Danio rerio: one gene and its partner. The protein of the gene in region 1 interacts with the protein of each later gene in a pairwise test. Links are inferred from orthologs where the notes say so. Each region holds a gene or a part of one and is shown on either strand. Other genes may lie near its edges.

Evidence for each region. The genes of interacting proteins can lie anywhere in the genome.
Region 2: the proteins of prpf40a (region 1) and ccnl1b interact in binary tests that used the Homo sapiens proteins (3 or more experiments, as listed by UniProt). The link is inferred for Danio rerio from reciprocal best matches to the Homo sapiens genes PRPF40A and CCNL1.

The regions. Positions count from the first base shown.
Region 1 is NC_133184.1:4,681,951-4,685,907, reverse strand, and holds the start of prpf40a (pre-mRNA-processing factor 40 homolog A), read right to left. Parts: upstream 2,801-3,957; 5' UTR 2,598-2,800; coding exon 2,595-2,597; intron 1-2,594.
Region 2 is NC_133177.1:39,643,060-39,646,559, forward strand, and holds the end of ccnl1b (cyclin-L1), read right to left. Parts: intron 1,151-3,500; coding exon of another isoform or gene 1,148-1,150; coding exon 1,058-1,147; intron 970-1,057; coding exon 621-969; 3' UTR 243-620; downstream 1-242. UniProt on the Homo sapiens protein: Involved in pre-mRNA splicing. Functions in association with cyclin-dependent kinases (CDKs). Inhibited by the CDK-specific inhibitor CDKN1A/p21. May play a role in the regulation of RNA polymerase II (pol II).

The DNA of each region.
Region 1 (3,957 bases):
CGCCAAAATATTCAGCAATACTGTTCCTAAGGTATGTATATGATTTTTCTATTTACTTTTTAAAAAGTTTTTTTTAGGACAACAGTATCTCTAGTAGAAAAGATATCCAAAGATGACGATTTAATTGTAAAGAAATCTGTTTTTGAAACAAATGAAGACAGCAGAAGTTATTGACTCATTTTCATTATCCAGCCTGATATGTTTACAGCTCCAAAATAGAAATGTTTCTCAAAAAAAAAAATGAAAAGTATTAAATTCACTTAAATATGCTGTTGTGGGTCTTCAGGTCTTAGTTTTCCCTAATTGTCCATGTAAAGCTATGGCCAATCGGTAAAACCAACAAATCTATCAAAAAAAGTTTAACAAATTTAACATTTATTAACTATTTAACAATATGTTTTGTCTTCCTTAAGATAACATGTTTTTTTTATTGTTATTATTATTATTTCCTTTATTTAGCCAGGAGATTAAATTGAGACAGTACTGTCTCTTCTTCCAGTGAGACCTGGTGTTTAAAAGTTCTCCATGCTTTTATGCATAAATTTATGTTGAGCATAAATTTAGTTTATTATAGCTTTTAAAACTTTTTTTAAAAAAAGGTTATGCTAAATTATATGTTTATAAATAGAGTTTGCAGGTTGTGACACATTACTTAAAATGTGTGACTAAGAAATAACTGAGGGGACGCAGTGGCGCAGTAGGTAGTGCTGTCGCCTCACAGCAAGAAGGTCGCTGGTTCGAGCCTCGCATGGGTCAGTTGGCATTTCTGAGTGGAGTTTGCATGTTGTCCCTGCGTTTGCGTGGGTTTCCTCCGGGTGCTCCGGTTTCCCCCAAAGTCCAAAGACATGCAGTACAGGTGAATTGAGTAAGCTAAATTCTCCGTAGTGAATGAGTGTGAATGAGTGTGTGTGTGGATGTTTCCCACAGATGGGTGGCGACTGGAAGGGCAGGGTAAAAAAATGTGCTGGACTAGTTGGCGGTTCATTCCGCTGTGGCAACCCTGGATTAAAAAAGGGACTGAGCCGAAAGGAAAAAGAATGAATGAAACAACTGAATTTAAATTTTAATGGTGCAAGTGAAAAAAAAATCCATTGGTTATTACTGAAAATTATTAGCGCTTTGCCATTTCATTCATAATGGTCCATCCATCACAACTTAACAAGCGGATACTAGAAAACAGTGACATTTTTATAAAAGGTTATCATACAGCCAGAATCTTATACCAGCCCATGCCTACACGGAACAATAGGATTTCTTTGCTGAACAATTAGATGAATAGGTTTATTATTATAGTTTGATCATGAATGTCAATGCCGTCCAGCAATAATGCTGATTCCTTTACATTTATTGGATTGTATTGTATATGACTTTTAGCCAGATGCATTAAATGTGTGGAAAAAGCTCTAAAAACAGTATTTTTTGAAAGGGATAGAAAAGTCATGAACAGTGATGGGGCAACACGGTGGCACAGTGGGTAGCACAATCGCCTCACAGCAAGAAGGTCGCTGGTTCGAGCCTCGGCTGGGTTAGTTGGCGTTTGTATGGAGTTTGCATGTTCTCCGTGGGTTTTCTCTAGGTGCTCCGGTTTCCCCCAGAAGTCCAAAACATGTGGTGTAGGTGAATTAGGTGGGCTAAATTGTCTGTGCGTGAATGAGCGTGTATGTTTCCCAGTGATGGGTTGCAGCTGGAAGGGCATCCGCTGCGCAAAACATTTGCCGGAATAGTTGGTGCTTTATTACGCTGTGATTAATAAAGGGACTAAGCCGAAAAGAAAATTAATGAATGAAGGAACAGTCATAAAGCGTTCATAAGACAGTAAGTTACCAAAATCATCAAATAGAGAAACAAGTGCTGATAAAGATGCTGAGCATCACTGATCTGTGACTGATCCTCCCCAAGTCTATTCTAATGACAGAAAATATCAAATGTTCCAGCCAAACCAGCTTATAACCTTTAGTTAGTATTCTTACATGTACAGAAAACCAGTAATCTGCTCAGTATCATAATAACCATATGATTTTATTAGTCTTTAACAACACAATCACGGAAGATATGAGTTTAATCAACTGCCACTCAAGTTCGATTAATTTAAGAGTTTTATTAAAGTTTGATTAGTCGACTAACATCTCAATTCGCCAGGAGCAGATGGACTGTCTGTGATTAAACTCAATTACTTTATTTAATATTTTCAGCGTGATAAGAGTTTATGTTCTCTACGTTAGTTACTCTAACACAGCATAAACATCTATGCAGTCAGTAAAGCAAATGATTATCCTACACAAGCAGCTTCCATACAGAAACGTCTGACACTATTAGATGTGACACATTTAACACATGTGCTTTAATAAACACAATAACACATCCAAACCTTCATTCAAACGCACATTAGCTTTAGCATTAGCAGCAACCACTCATTCACATTAGCTTACATGCTAACCAGTCTTTATTTCGTCTACGCTACATCCATTTCTTCACAGCAACTGTCTTTAACCAAAGCGAAAACACGGGTTGTTGTTTAAACGTGTGCTAGGTAGTCGCCAGAACACGACAGCGTTGCGTTTATGTGAATAAACTGTGTATTTAGCTGGACTCACCATGATGAGAGAACATGCAGCGGCCCTCCGCGAGACAAAAACCTACGTTCTGATTGGCTGCCTCGCGCCGGGTTCAAACTACAGAGTTGTGCTTCAGTGCAACTACAATGGGTAGGGCATGCGCATGCACGGGTTTGAACTGCAGGGGGAGAAAGCAACTGTAAAGCTGCGCAAACAAGACGCAGACGTGAAGCGTAAGTACGAGTAAGATTACTTTATGCCACATAATATTTATAAACAGATTGGTGGTCTCAGATTTTTGTTAACTTGTAGTTTTTCTCCATCAAAACTCCCTATAAACCTCTCTAAATTTCATGAACAGGCTCTTTTGGCATGGAAGTTATGTTTCGTTTACAATTTTTTCCTGCACAAAGTGAAGCTATGAAACAACGAAAGCATCTTAGTAAAGAATAAATCGATTTTTAATCAGAATTGGCATGAAAAAGACATTAATTATCTTTGTGATTTACTTGATTCACAAGGGAACTTCTATTCATATGGTGATTTTATGGTTAAATAATTTCCCAATTATTCATAAAAAAATTCATACTGTGATTAAGGCCAGACGGTTCAACGCTAACAATTTTTTTTCCACTGGTGGTTCCGATTTTTATTTGCCCAACCAAAATTTTCACTGGTCCCACCAAAAAAAGTAGTAAATAACTATTTCTTAGCCACATATTTTAAATAACGTGTCAAAAGCCAAACATAACTTCAGCATAACTTTTCTTTGAATACAACTGACAATTTTAAAAAATACAACTGTGATGTAAATAAATTTGGAAATAAATATATGCTTAAATTATAGAGAGAAATAACAGATGAACTGATATATTGATATTCAATATTGATCTTTCTTTCTAGTTGTCAGTGCAGAAATAACCAAAACAATAGGCCTAATGCAAAATCTTATAAGATTAACATATGGAAAAGTTCTCAGATGGTAATTTGTCACAGTTTTTCCAACAAATAAACAGCTCTCTATTTCAGCATGCTTCACTTTCATATTCGACATAAAATACACATTTGCCAGTAGGAATGACATCCGGCCCTACTCATAATTCTCATTTTATATAGCCATGACTATTACACAACCATAATACACAAATAGTCTGGTTCGTTAGTTTGTTGGATCATTTTGCTTTCTCATTACAATCGATCTCGGAGTGATTGTTTTGGCGTGGATCTGAGCGCAATTGCGGGATTCACATATGTCGAACGAACCATGCTAACTGGGCTAGCAAGACAGGGTCCAAAACAAACGTTTAAGTGTGAAAGCACCCTGTTTGCACGCAATGACAGTCACAGCCAAATTAAACTTTAGTGACAAGGCAGCACATGCTTGATCGGGCCACTAACAATC
Region 2 (3,500 bases), on another chromosome or scaffold:
ATGGATATAGTAATTCGTCTCAGAAGACATAAGAATAATACATTTATGTAGAATAACAGTATGTTGTCTTTCTCAATCCACCATAATGAACTACAGTGGGGGAGTGACAAGTAAACAATTACCTTAAAAATAAAACCACTATTCTTTCGAAATCAAGGTATTGTTCAATTAATCAAGGTTTTCTATTTAGGTCATTTCGCGCATCCCCTATTACATCAAAGTAAATCACACACATGAAGTTGTAGAATGTTATATCCTTTTTATTTTCTGCAGAGAAAGATGAATACAAAGTCTCCTGACATCATAAAAATAGGCTTTATATGTACATTTGATGAAAAAAAGAAAAGACATTGAACATGCACAGGTATCGTCTGCTCTGTGCGAATGTGTTCCCTGATAGAGGCAGATTTTGATCAGTCCGTCTGTTGTTCACTTTCAAGTTTAAAGTAAAACACTTTTTTAAATTGTCAAATACATAAAAAGGCACCACTACCTTGCCCAACTGAACCGGTCAGATGCAAGAAGAGTAACATTGATAGAACATCCACTTCTTAACCAGTTAATAAACAACAGCGTTTCGAAGCAAGCGTTAGTCTTGTCCTGTTGTCCATAATTGTGCTTCATCTCCTGTGTCTGCTATGACTGTGTCCAGAATGTGATCGGCTCTGGCGCTTGTTTCGTCCATGATCACGTGAACGGTCACGCTCACGGTCCCGATGGTCCCAGTGGTGCCCTGAGCCGCTGCCCTCCTGTTTGTGTTTGATGTAGTCACGATCGCGGACTCTTTCTCTTGAATTGCTGCGAGATCTGCTCCGTGACCTCCTCCTCTTGTTAGAGTGACGGCTGGTTTCGCTGGGTCGGTCTCGGTCTGTCCTGAGTTGGCTGATGGGTGACGGTCTTCTGGCTTTTTGACGTGGAGACGGACTGTGGCTGCTGTGAGAGCTGTACGTTCCTGAGTGGCTCCTTCGACTGGGGGAGAACAGATCATTGATTTGGTTTTAAATGTTCCCTTGATGTGCATGAATAACAACAGCATCATGAAGAGAAGAGAACTTACTGTCTGTGTGGAGAACGAGACGTAGAGCGAGATCGGGACCGGCTGTGGTTCTTGCCATTCTGAAACACTTTGCCGTCCTCCTTTTTTATACTTCTGTATGATAAAAAAAAATATTAATAATTTTTTACTTGGATAATATAGTTTTGTAAATCAGAGTATATGCTGTTAATGAGCGAAAATTCTGGTATAAAAAATCTAGTTAAAGATCAGAAACAATTAACAAAAAAGGTTTCTGCAACTCTGAAATTTAGCATTTTGATTTTAATAGTTTTTCCTCAATCACATAAGATTACTAAAATTGTTACATAAACGAAAAAATAATTTTGCAAAGTAAAAATCAATCATGATAAATCGCATCCAAAATAAAAGTTTGTTTTGACAATATACCATGGGTAAAGATCACAACCCACGGAACTCACGTGACGCGCAGATTAAGAACTTTTGAATCCAATATTTATAAAATTAGCAGAGAGAGAGAGATCGCCTCATTGGAGCCCAAGTGGCTCTGCAGCGAGCAGTGTCTCAAATTTGTTGACATATATATATATATTTAAATGAATTTAATTAATTTATTTATTTATACAACAGTTCTGTCTGGTTCTTAAATCAATATAATCTTAAAACATTGGATGTTTGAGCGTCTTTTTTTATTTATTTTTTTTAAGTATCATCATTTTCTTTTTCCCTTTTCAAGGCCAATAGGAAGAGCAAAATAGTTTGTCTCTTCTTTTTATTCCTTAAAGTCTCTGGGTAAACGCTGGGACACCTGGCACCCGTCACAATACCCATGGCAACAGAAATACAGTAGATTGTAGGGAGAAATCTCTGTAGACTGATGACATTTCATGTCACGTTCAGCCTTATGATCTTAAAATGTGAGCAAAATTTGCTGTTTTGTCATCACTTTAAGGAGGTCATTCAAATAATTCAAATACTAGCTTTAAAGTGACATTGGTGAATTAGTAACGGCTTCTGCTTTTCTGACGTCAGCTGCAGATGTGAATGAACGGCTGAAAAAAGTAGTTCCTAATGCAAAAGGGTTTTAGACTGTGTTTGATTTTCTACTTTATGTACAAGATTGTGCCGTTGAACTGTTGTATAAACGCAATATCACACTTGTAGCAGTGTGGTATGGCTGTATATCAGCACTGTACAACGCATGTTTAGTATAGTGCACAATATATCGTTTCAGCATCAATATTGCAATGTGTGTATCTGCAAGATTTGCAATGTTGAGTCTGAATTATAGTTCAAGAGGAGCTACAGAACACGTGATTTGTAGAGTCACTGCTAATTTTAACCACAATAGAGTGAAGGTTTATCATTTGCATGTGACTGAGCACTTCAACAATTTAAACATTTGGCAACATAATGTTTGGGGTAGAGCTGTGCAATTAATCGAAAATGCGATTTCCATTTTGGCTTCAAACAATTATGAAAAACCATTAATCAAGATAAACGATTATTGCATCATATACCGCCCCCTTTCAGCTGTTCACGTTTGTTGCTCTTAAAAGCGCAAAACACCGTGTGCTTGTGTGAGAGCGGCAAGCACACACAGCCAAAAGCATGCGGCCGGTCAGCATTCGGTCTCATTCACACACTAAGACGAGCAGAGGAACGCAGATATCTAAAGTCATCTTAACGCGAGCGCTTTAAAGGTCAAATAGGTGTCAAAACGCTGTGTTCAGTGATTATTCATATTAACCCTCATTTGTGTAATAAACAAACGAGTTGAGGATCAAAAGAAGCGTGAAAGAGAAACCATTGAAGAGACAGCGCGCAATGTTACTGCTGCCGCCTGTTTTTATCATTAATCAAACAAAACGAGCAAATCCCTCACTGCTCTTGACTGAAGGATTTTTGTAGCTAAAGTGTTTTTCTTACAGTGAAGATGCTTAAAGCACAGTTTGTTTCATATTTTTATTCTGTTGTATTTATTTCTCTTTCCTTTGGAGAGTGGAAAATAACTATATATATATATTTGAAGTCAGAAATATTAGCCCTCCTGAATATTAGCAACCCTTTTTCTGCCCAATTTCTGTTTAATGGAAAGATTTTTTCAACTTGTTTCTGAACATATTAGTTTTGATAACTCATTTCTAATTACTGATTCTTTGATATCTTTGCTATGATGACAGTAAATAATATTTGACTATATATTTTTCAAAATACAAGCATTCAGATTAAAGTGCAATTCAAAGACTTAGAGTTATAAGGCAAGTCATTGTATAACAGTAGTTTTTTCTGCAGACAATCAAAAAATATATTGCTTAAGGTGGCTAATAATATTGACCTTAAAATGGGTTTCAAAATATTTAAACCTGCTTTTATTCTAGCTAAAACAAAACAAATAAGCCTAGAAGAAAAAATATTATAGGAAATACTGTTAAAATTCCTAGCTCTGTTAAACATAATTTGGGAAATATTTAAAAAAAAAAAT